Linked DNA regions of Lepisosteus oculatus. The protein of the gene in region 2 interacts with the protein of the main gene of each other region in a pairwise test. Links are inferred from orthologs where the notes say so. Each region holds a gene or a part of one and is shown on either strand. Other genes may lie near its edges. The genes, in order: rhobtb3, ubxn11 and enkd1.

What was found.
Region 1: the proteins of ubxn11 (region 2) and rhobtb3 interact in binary tests that used the Homo sapiens proteins (3 or more experiments, as listed by UniProt). The two-hybrid records come from large-scale screens. The link is inferred for Lepisosteus oculatus from reciprocal best matches to the Homo sapiens genes UBXN11 and RHOBTB3.
Region 3: the proteins of ubxn11 (region 2) and enkd1 interact in binary tests that used the Homo sapiens proteins (3 or more experiments, as listed by UniProt). The two-hybrid records come from large-scale screens. The link is inferred for Lepisosteus oculatus from reciprocal best matches to the Homo sapiens genes UBXN11 and ENKD1.

The regions. Positions count from the first base shown.
Region 1 is NC_090698.1:74,236,773-74,240,522, forward strand, and holds the start of rhobtb3 (rho-related BTB domain-containing protein 3), read left to right. Parts: upstream 1-764; 5' UTR 765-850; intron 851-1,820; exon of another isoform or gene 1,821-2,508; intron 2,509-3,750. Other genes in the region: probable G-protein coupled receptor 150, read right to left, coding at 1-198. UniProt on the Homo sapiens protein: Rab9-regulated ATPase required for endosome to Golgi transport. Involved in transport vesicle docking at the Golgi complex, possibly by participating in release M6PRBP1/TIP47 from vesicles to permit their efficient docking and fusion at the Golgi.
Region 2 is NC_090706.1:7,489,555-7,493,304, reverse strand, and holds the start of ubxn11 (UBX domain-containing protein 11), read left to right. Parts: upstream 1-1,318; 5' UTR 1,319-1,466; coding exon 1,467-1,514; intron 1,515-2,457; coding exon 2,458-2,525; intron 2,526-2,812; coding exon 2,813-2,850; intron 2,851-3,750. UniProt on the Homo sapiens protein: May be involved in the reorganization of actin cytoskeleton mediated by RND1, RND2 and RND3. Promotes RHOA activation mediated by GNA12 and GNA13.
Region 3 is NC_090697.1:65,809,547-65,813,296, reverse strand, and holds the start of enkd1 (enkurin domain-containing protein 1), read left to right. Parts: upstream 1-1,230; 5' UTR 1,231-1,277; coding exon 1,278-1,471; intron 1,472-1,762; coding exon 1,763-1,854; intron 1,855-2,129; coding exon 2,130-2,351; intron 2,352-3,212; coding exon 3,213-3,385; intron 3,386-3,581; coding exon 3,582-3,707; intron 3,708-3,750. UniProt on the Homo sapiens protein: Microtubule-binding protein which regulates microtubule organization and stability. Promotes the stability of astral microtubules and facilitates the proper orientation of the mitotic spindle.

The DNA.
Region 1 (3,750 bases), on a different chromosome or scaffold from region 2:
CTTGTGGAGCACGATGGAGTTGCCCAGGAACGCCACGGCGAAAATGACGGACATCGATATGATTCGGACCTGCCGGTTGTAGAAGGGGCCCCGGGTGGAGGAGGAGTTGCCCCCGCGGTCGGCCAGAGGGAGACTCCAGCGGTCCAGCTCGGACGAATTCGTGCGCGGGTCGCCAGCGAAGCCGGGCGCGCCGTCCATCTCTGCGCGCCACAGCCCTGAGCGATCCTGTCAACTTCTCAAGCTGAAGACGAAGTGCGGGCGCAGGGACCGGCTGCATGCAACGGCAGGACTAACGAACCGTCAAGCACCAAGCCCCGGTCGCCAGCCCAGCGCCCGCGAGTGCCTCCATAGCTCAGAGAGCAGGACCGGCGAGCGCTTGCCAGACAAGGCGTTATAGACCACAGAGCGGCAGCCGCAGCTTATATAGACCAGCCCGCGTCATCTGACGATATACTCGCGGGCAGGGGCGAGTGGGCTCGGCAGCAAGGCGGGGGTCTCGGTGACGCCGAGTTTGCGATCGAACCGAGGCCGGAGCCCTCCTGGAGCAGAGCGGGCACGAACACACGGCAGCGCGAGTGAGAGCGCTTCACGGTGCTGGGCTCGGGAGAGCACGCAGAACCGCAGTGCCCCTTACACAGAGCAGTTCTGTGCGTCATTCTTACACCCCGAAGTATTAAAATCAGTGCCCAGAACAATCACCATCTGTGAATGCACCAGAAAATGAGCGAGCGCGTCTTCGGAGTGACAGACGGCAGGAATCCACAGCGGGATCACACGGGAAGGGGACGGGAAGACCGGGAGGTCCACACCTGGCCCGCGGGTACAGGGATCATATGATCGCGATCTGATTGTAAATACCGCTACTGCTACCGCTACTGCTGGTACAGCTATTACTAGTGCTGCTACTGCTGGTACTATTGTACTACTACCTCTCAACTACTACAGTCGCTACTAGTGCTCCTACTCCTGCTATTACCTCTTAACCACTACAGCAGCTACTACTAGTGCTGCTGCTGCTACGTTTCTGCCTCTTCTGCCACTGCTCCAGTCAGCACCATTGCGATCCCCGTGTTCGTGTGGGGTGTCAGTGCCCCACTGCAGACACGCTGGCAGGTTAATACGCTCCTGGGAAACTCCTGGTGTGTGTGAGAGTGTGTGAGTGTGTGTGTGCGCGTGTGTGTGTGTGATTGTGCGTGTGTGTGAGTCTGAGTGTGCGAGTGTGTGCAAGTGAGTGTGTGTGTGAGTGTGCGTGTGATTGTGCGTGTGAGTGTGTGTGCGAGCGAGTGTGTGTGTGAGTGTGATTGTGTGCGTGTGTGAGTGTGAGAGTGTGTGTGTGATTGTGTGCGTGTGTGAGTGTGAGAGTGTGAGTGTGATTGTGTGCGTGTGTGAGTGTGAGAGTGTGTGTGTGAGTGTGAGTGTGATTGTGTGCGTGTGTGAGTGTGAGAGTGTGAGTCTGATTGTGTGCGTGTGTGAGTGTGAGAGTGTGAGTGTGTGTGAGTGTGCGTGTGCGTGTGATTGTGCGTGTGTGATTGTGTGTGTGCGTGTGTGTGAGTGTGTGTGTGAGTGTGCAGGGGTCTGGTGGGCCCTGCCTGGCGCTCATCTCTCCGCCGCCACCCTGAATCGGATGCATCCGTTAGAAACGGGAGGAATGGACGAACTTTTAGCCACGTTTCGACACCTCGGCGCCGTTTCGGAACAGCAGTACAGCAGCTCGAGAGTTAGGAGTTCACGCTTTTCCTTTCAGCGTGGAATCGGCCTTCACCTGTTGCCTGGAGAGGCCGCGCACGCCATCTAGCGGTGTAACACACACCTTACAGAACACGCACTTCTCCCCGGCTCTGCAGCAGCCGCGGGGAGCACCGTTTAACCGACGCGCTTCACGAGCTGTGAATTAAAATGATATAAACATATAAGGGAGAGTTTAATTCTTGTTTCAGTGAAATATGTCATACCCATTTCTATATACACTACAAGCGCGCCATGATAACAGCTTAATACGTGTTCGTGTATTTAGGTGAAACATAAATATTTTTTTTGTTGCTCTAAGTCATCTAATTTATCTTAGATCTTGGACAGTTGTTTTCGAGTTCGACTTTAGCCAACAATATTAAAACGGGTATTTTGGTGATGCTGCCTGAATTTATCCGCGCTGAACAAACGGATCCCGCTGTTTCATTTGATGTGCAACTCCAAATAAGTGCAATTCAGAAAGTACAATTCACAGGGGGGAAAAAAAGTATCTGTTTCGCTACAACAGCTGCAAGAAATAAGAGTTTTTGTTTGTTCATTGTGAAAATCTGCTCTCCTGCTTCAGCACCACGTGGGGTGTCACGTGTCCAGGTCGTGGCGTCTCGCGGACTGCGGTGCTCCCGTGATTTCAGTCCGGCCAGGAAAACGCAGAAAATTGTTTCAGGGGACTAGATCTATATTATATTTCTGTTTCTGACCTGTGCTGCTTGGGTCTGCGGTGTCACCAGGATGAGAAACGTCTGAAAGGACGGCAGACCGGTGAGTGCGGCGACGTCTGGGTATTTCTCTGACCCGCCGGCTTTTATTTTAATGTCTGGTTTGTGTCGGACATCAAAATAAAGGTGGACGTACACACAGCTGGTGTCGGGTCCAGTTCGGTCCCCCTGTACCCCTGTACTCAATCTGTACCCCTCCAGTACAGTCTCTCCTGGAATCTGTACCCCTCTAATACAGTCTCTCTGGGAATCTGTACCCCTCCAGTACAGTCTCTCCGGGAATCTGTACCCCTCCAGTACAGTCTCTCTGGGAATCTGTACCCCTCTAATACAGTCTCTCTGGGAATCTGTACCCCTCTAATACAGTCTCTCTGGGAATCTGTACCCCTCCAGTACAGTCTCTCTGGGAATCTGTACCCCTCTAATACAGTCTCTCCTGGAATCTGTACCCCTCCAGTACAGTCTCTCTGGGAATCTGTACCCCTCCAGTACAGTCTCTCCTGGAATCTGTACCCCTCTAATACAGTCTCTCCTGGAATCTGTACCCCTCTAATACAGTCTCTCTGGGAATCTGTACCCCTCCAGTACAGTCTCTCCTGGAATCTGTACCCCTCCAGTACAGTCTCTCCTGGAACCTGTACCCCTCCAGTACAGTCTCTCTGGGAACCTGTACCCCTCCAGTACAGTCTCTCTGGGAATCTGTACCCCTCCAGTACAGTCTCTCTGGGAATCTGTACCCCTCTAATACAGTCTCTCCTGGAATCTGTACCCCTCTAATACAGTCTCTCTGGGAATCTGTACCCCTCCATTACAGTCACTCTGGGAATCTGTACCCCTCTAATACAGTCTCTCCTGGAATCTGTACCCCTCTAATACAGTCTCTCTGGGAATCTGTAGCCCTCCAGTACAGTCTCTCTGGGAATCTGTACCCCTAATCTGTAATGTCAACGTGCTCCACAAAGCTTTGTAGCTTATTAGTTTCTTATTAAAAGCAGCACCAGCTGTTAATAATAACAGCAGCTCCTGCATGGATCTTGGTGCCTTGGCTCCTTGAGACACAGATGGACGGTGCCGGTTCTCCGCACGTGTTTATCTCGGTTTCTCTGTGTGTTTCATGAGTGGTGTACAGCATTACCGCCCCCCGGTGAATGAACGCTGAACTTTCTTTACATGAGAGAGGGGGACCGATAGCAATTGTGTTGCGTGCGTCTTTTGTCTTCTCTTTGTTACAGGTCAATCATTGCATACGCCCAGGATGAGAAGAATCAGGTGTCCCGGACATAAC
Region 2 (3,750 bases):
AAAATATCAAAAGCCTTCATATAAAATCTTAGTATTCTATATTTCCAGAGAATTCCCATGACGTGAATTGACTGTACTCTGCCTGGCGATCTCTGTCGCTAAGGTTGGCGCAAGAGGTAGCCAGTTTAAGAAGCACAGTGATTAACGAGTGGGTCGGGGAGCACGTAGATTACGAAGGATTTAACGTGCTACTTTAGTTACGATAGGTTTTGGGAAACACTCGTAAATTAAGGATCGATCTTAAGAGCAAGTTTACGATGTTCTTAGCGCTACGATGCTTTCGGGAAACTCACCCCTGCCTGACATCAGCTAAATGCAATTAAAAAAAACATAAGAATTACGTATGATCGTAATGTTGGTGGTTTTTAAACCAGGACTTTGCCTCTTAGGCTACAGTTAGCGAAGGACGCCACAGCATGCTCAACTGCTCACTTCTGTGCATGATTTTATCTTAGTGGAAGACATGCACCTGAGTGTGGAGGAAAAGGCGTCAGAAGTGTAAACGCTCACAACACATTTTTGCCACAATAAATGCACTGCCTGCTAGTGTTTGAATTCTTTGAAGCTTCGTGCATCGAGATGAACCTATCTTGTGTGTGACTTCTCAGAAGTGTTCATGTTCTTGCTAGCGTGACGGAGCGAAGGGCTGTGTGAGTCTTTAGCTGGCTGCTTTTAGTGTATTTTACGGCAGAAGCTATCTGCTATTGCACTCTTCCCGTTCCTGTCAAATTTGAATTAATCAAAAAGTTTTCTTCATGAGACAAATTAGGACATTTTAAGGGAATCAGTCCAACCATAAAGGAAGACAGAAAGATTTCTCCAGAAAACTTCTGTCGCTCAAGATATTGTTAAGGTGGCGTGGTCGGAGCAAGATGTGGTCAATCAAGGAACATGAAATGTAGTAAATTATTGGAAATATTATCACTCAATCAATCAATTATCATCGTCATTTTCTTAGCCTTTAGGGTCGCGGGGGAGCCGGAGCCTAAACCGTCAACCGGAGGCTGAAATGTAATGTTTATTCTATTACAGAAAATGTAATATGTATTTTGCAAAGTAATAAAGGATAATGCTTGTATTATTATTATTATTATTATTATTATTATTATTATTATTATTATCGGTGGTGTAGTTTTACTGCATTTTGATTTAATAGAACACAACACATGTAACCTTCTGGCTATATTCTACACATTTTGGACTGCAGCAAAGAGGTTGAGGGTTCTATGCATGTTGTACGTGATCCAGTTCTAAAAAAAGAAATACAATGAGCAAAATTGCGCTTATCTAGTTCTTTTCCCATTGAACTCTCCCAGTATCCCACAAGTCTTCGGGCGGCAGTGTTGAGGTCAGACATCAGTGCGCTTCGGCCAATCGCAAACCACAGCCTGGATTGCCAATGGCAACCGACACCAAACAATTCCGCCTGGAAACGAACTCGCAAAACCAGGAGAGGTAATTCTGATATGAAAGTACTGCTGACAAATGATGTGCACTGTTGTCTAAAAAAAACGGTAACAAACGCTGTTTTTTTGTATTTGAAAAATAATACTTGTAAAGCGCGATCTCTCTGATCCTCAATAGTATAAAAATTAGTTTCGCCTTTTTCAAATGTAACATTTATTCTGCGCTATGAATTGATGTGTGTATTTCATTTGCATAACAGTCACATAGTAATATTGGTGCTCTCCTTCTCCAACGGGTCACTCAGACATATAAATGTCTTTAGATATTGTGTCATTATGTGAATATCCGGAATTATAACCTATATTGATATACGTCGCTTTTATCCAAAGTGACTTACCCAAAATAATAAAAAATATGACATAATCGCTAGAACTGTGAACAGGCACCTGATTTGGCCAAGCATATAAAGCTATAGTGTATAAGCATGCTCTTGCATTAACTTTTAAAATGAGAGATTTAGTTCACACTATAAGGTGAGTGTAATAATTAACAGATGAGTGAGATAATGTGATGAATAAGAGAATAATAGACATACTCAGTAGTTAAACGTTCATAATGAACAGAGGTATTTAGTTGGGATTCCTAATAATGGATCTGGAAACACAAACTGCAGTTGGTTCATTCCTGATGACCTTAATTACTTAATTAAGTAATGAAGTCTTAACTACAAAACTGCTAAAACAAGTTGAAAGTTTTGAATTTATTTTTTCTTATGTTCTTAACCCAAACATGTTCAAGATCTTAAAACAGTCAGACATTTCAAGTTAATCCCATCTTCAAGACAACTTTAGGAGTCAGATAATTGGGATTCAATTGTGTAAATGAGAGTTTGGTTTGAGCAAAGCTGTAACAGGCTTTGGGCCTATGGGGAATCTGTAAATTAGAGAACAAATGTTCAGATAGGCTGTATTTATTTGACAGCAGCATCTCTGAAATCTGTTGTGCTCACAGAGTGATTTTGTGTGTATTTGTTTTCTCCAACTCTGAAAGATGAGCTCTCCTCTCTCTACACTGAGAAAGAACAGAAGAACACCTCTACCTGAGTCACAGAACAATGGGTAAATAAAAAACAGATTAATATAATTATACTTTGCTGTCACAGATGTTTTCTTGAAATATTGCACAACTGCTACTGTACATCTGTTATTTCAATTTACTGTTTATCAATGTACTAACCTTAACAAAACATTTCTGTAAAACAAACTAAGTTGCTATAAAGAAGACATCTGTCTTTGATTGTATCAGTGGTGTATAATTTTACTGCTGTTTCTTTTATTAGTGATATTTGGTGTTAGCTGTGTGTTTGTGTGCTGTTTTTAATTTCTGTTAACTTGTGTTCCCACAGAAGAAGAGCAGTGCCATTTAAAAAAACTCCCTATACAGGCAAGTAGTCCCACATCTTCCTGCATTTACTACAAAGTGGTACAAATTGAATGCATCATTCTGCTGTGTGTAAACTAACACATAACAGGTTTTGTCATGATAGGAAAAACCTACAGTACCCTTTTCATCGCAGTATCTTTCACAGCTTTACACATCGATTTGCAAGATCAGTGTAAGATTGAGAAACACAGGACTAATTATAGCAAATGCTTTTTTTTCATATCAGTTTTTGAGATAGACCTAATATGAAAAACAGCTCATACACTGACTGCTTCCATAGTATTTTAATTATTTAAAAAAGAATTGTTCTTATTGCATACATTTTCTACAGTGCAGTGTGGACAGCATAGTGATATGGCAGTTAATATGCTGTCTTGCAACTCTGCAGTATCCTTTATTGGGTTCTGGGCTGGGGGTACCTTCTGTGCGGACTTTGTATGCCCTTGCCATGTTCACTTGGGTTTTTTGGGGTACTCTAGTTTCCAACCACCTCTCAAATACATGCTGGCGGGCTTCTTGGCAGCCCTAAATTGCCCCTTCCTTGATGAGCAGGAATGGGGCCCCTCCTTCATGAACCCTATCTGTCCAGAGGAGTGTATTTGGAGAAGGTTCTGGTGATGAAGAATACATAATTTCTTCAACGTTGCTGCTACAGTATATGAGACAGAGTGGGGCTTAGCTTTTGATATACAGTAGCTGCATGTCGTTATGGTGTGGTTTTCCTACTGAGTCTTTCTTGATTGTGTTTGTCCTTCACTTGTAACAGTTTTGATTTAGAAAAAGTTTCTGTTTCTGTTCTGGGTTCTGCTTGCCGGACTTAATTTTAAACATTAAATACTACTGTATTATTATAAATAATCTTATGGCCAGTCTTACCTCTTTGTTTTGACTGGAGTTTCA
Region 3 (3,750 bases), on a different chromosome or scaffold from region 2:
AAAGAAACGGTAATGCAGTAAAGCTTATTTTGATTTAAATAATTAACGAAAAAGCGCTGTTTGGCTAAAAAGCGTTTACAAATAGGGAGCGATTCCTCTTTATATTGATTCTGACTCCTGTTGTTTTGCTAATTTTATGTCGCCAAAAAGTTAACATGTTCTGGCCGCAAGTTCGGTAAAATGTCACGCGTTTTCTGAGAGGCGTGTATTTTAAAACGTTATAGATTAATGACCACTGATATGATGGCTGTTAACCTTTATGTGCAGTGACAGAGCCTCGCATCATTTTTAAATTTCATTCGTCGATGTCTGTGTCTTGTCCACAGTCAACCGGCTCTCCTGTCCGGTTGCTCGCTGGTCGTCTCCAAATGATACCGTGCCGGTTGCAGTGTGTTTCGGCGGTTTCACTTTCGTGCACAAGAAACGTGAAAAAAATCGTCTGTGGGGGTGTGCGGAACAGGACTGATGTCAATTTCACCTTTTAAATCCCACATCTCTTTTCAAAGCAATTGCAATTCTTACTGATAACAAATATCACGTATCGTATTTGCTGCGGTCTCCCATGACTCATTCTGGAGTCAGTATTGTACTGTTACTGTTCTGAGTCCACCTGGGTGAGTTTATAGTTGTTCGTGTCTAAGACAGAAGAGAGTTATAAACTGCGAGTCTCGCATACAGGTATAAACTGAATTATACGACTGTTCCTATTATAACTATTACTGCTACTAAAATGATTATGTATCATTAGTAAGGGTGGTAACATCCATTTAAAAACAATTACTGTCAGAATTAAAGTATAACGTTAGAATACGCCTGAGGTATAAAACATAAGAACATAAAGTTTACAAACTACAGGAGGTCACCCCAGACTCTCTCCCTATCTGTGTGTCTCATGGAGAGCAAGCTGGGGTATGCAAAAAGATAATTTCTAATGCAAGAAATTGTAGAGGGTTAATAAAGTGATGTTATTATTATTAATAATGTGGCCTGTTTGGTAGTGAGTGACGGATTGATCCAAGGATCTCATCCAGCTGTTTATTGAAAGAAGGTATCGGTTTCAACCACATGGCTGAGCAGCTTGTTCCACTCTCCCACCACCCTTTGCGTAAAGTGTGTCCTGTGCTCAGCTTGAAATCCATAATACTACTTTATAAACCTTCAGTAATCCAGCCTTAAAAATGAAACGCATCCAGAACAGTCTCTACAATGTTTTCTGTGTCTTTAGATTTTTTTAGCCGGTATGATTTGACACCACATTTAGTCTGATTTAGTACAACATGCCTGATGTGTTATCTTGTCTGTTACTTGAATATTTTCTTTTTATAGCTGTGCCCCGACTGGCACTTCAGCGTGGGAGTATGTCTGAGCCAGTCGAAGCATGGCCACGTGTGTCCGGGGATATGTGTGTGTCAGATTGTCACTGTGTGACCCTGAACCTGGGGTCTCTCCACTATACAGGGCAGCAGCCAGGGTTTGTGGCATCCCCCACTTACTTAAATTAGTGCATTTATCTTCAAAGGTTAGCCATTCACAGTATTATGTGGAAATCGGGCATGTTGTAAATATTAACACATTACTTTCAGGGCTCAGAAGGACTTGTGTTTTGTCTGTATGATAGCAGAAAGAAGAATTGCAGGCCCAAGTCTCAGAAAGATCTCCTGGCACTGCTCGTGCCTTAAGCTCGGGAATGATGCAGGAATTGTAGCTGGGGATTTCAGGCCATGCCCTGATAGTGGATTTTCTCTGGCTTTGTCCCGAGCAGTGGGACGATGTGTGAAGGCCCATCACGGATCTCTGGACCGATCCCTCCCGATCCCACCCTCTTCCCTGAGTTTTACAGACGTCCGGCCTCTGGTAAGACACTATCTAGTCCAGTCTTGGGGACTTGAGTGACCGTCTACTCACATCGGATTCGCCTGAGTCTGTGTGCTTCCCTAGTTCATGTGTGGCCGTCCCATAATTCATCAGTCATTAAACATCTTTCTGTGCCTCCATCCTCCTCCTCTTCCTCAACCTCTTTGTCTTGACTTAGCTCACTCACATTGGAATATGCAGTAATTGGTTATTACACCTGTACTTATGCGAACTGTGGTTATAATCTCTGTGTTTCTCTTGCTCTCTGTTGACAGCGCGAGGCAGGCTAGAGGGGAATGACCTGAAGTTGACCTTTCTGTCCGGCCCTCTAGCCCCTGACCCTTCGCTGCACCCTGGCTGCTACAGCGCACGCCCCCCTCCTCCCCCCCGAGTGCACCCCAACGCCATGCACATCCTCGAGAGGGGTCAGCGAGGGGTCGTTGGAAATCTGCTGCAGCTGGAAGGGGTCTCTCTGCACCCAGATCCCCCAAAACACAGTAAATAAACTCCCTCCCTCTGATATCCTGTTTATCAGATCCGACACACTTGTCAAAGTGTTGGAAGCCCCGATTCGTGTGAATGGTCAGCGTGAGGCTTGAGGAGCAGGAGAAGTATTCCCATCACGATCCCTAACCCCCTAACCAGAACAATGCCCAGATCTCACTTCCTCTTGGAAATACAGGTTTACTGATATGCTGGCCCTACAAATCTTAATCATCATCGCAAATAAAAATGATCTTGCTGGAAGAATGGGATGTGATTGGGCTGGAAATATTTCCTGATATTTCCTGAGGAATATGTGCTGCAGGCTGTCCTTGCTTTTCAGAATGGGATGCCGTATAATCGGGTGGGGTTTTCCAATATTTTGATTATTGAGTGTATATATTGTTATAGAAGGAGTTAGGGAAACAAGTAAGCGTCTAATGCAAATTGTGCAGTACGAGTTAATAGCAGGTGCCACAGTAGCGCAGTGGTTCTTCCAGGGTTCATGTGGGCTTCCTCTGGGTGCTCTGGTTTCCTCATGCTGCATGCAAAGACATGCTGGCGAGTTTGCCTGGCCCTGGTGTGAGTGTGTGCGTGTCTGTGTATGTGTGCCCTGCGATGGACTGGCGTCCTGCCCAGGGTGTATCTTGCCTCCATAGAAAATGGAAGAATGGATGGATGAGTTAATAGCAGAGTCTGTGTAAAAACGAATTGTCATCTGGTACGGTTTTATATTGGAATTGTGCTGTCTTAATCATTTCTGTTTCAAAACAATTGGAGGGCCGGCGTCGCACTGCAATGAGTGTTTCAGGCCGGGTATAGAAGTGCTTCGTCCTAAATCCCGAGCCCACGTGTGCGTTCTGTGGTGTCTTCAGAGAAGGAGCCGCGGGATCACGGCAAGGAGAACGTGCGGCGACTGCGCGAGATCCAGCGCCGCTGCAGGGAGCGAGAGGCCGAGAAAGAGGGCGCCCGGCCTGTGCCCGTCAAGGCGCTGTGGAGGTCCCCAAAATACGAGGCAGTGCCGTCCAAGGTCATGACCCAGCTGCAGGTGAGGCTGGTGGTGCAGGACAGCACTGTTGGTTAACAGAAGCTTGGGGGCTCGGAAACTCCCAGAGAAACTCCCTGCTCCAGGGACTGCTCAGCTCAATACGGCGGCGCTCTGTACCGGCCACTTAACAGGGCAACGATTCTTCTGTCACTCTCTGCGAAATGGACATTTCACATTTCATCCCCGTCTTTCCCAGGAGACGACGCCCCCCAAGAGGTCCGAGTGCCAGAACTTCCTGAAGGCTCACTCGCGCTGTGGAAGTGCAGGAGCCCCACGGCGCAGCCCCTCCCCTGGGCCCCCCACCCTTGACGCGGATGCTGAGGTTAGGGAGGGGGAGGCAGGGTCTGGAGAACAGAGAGGAGGGC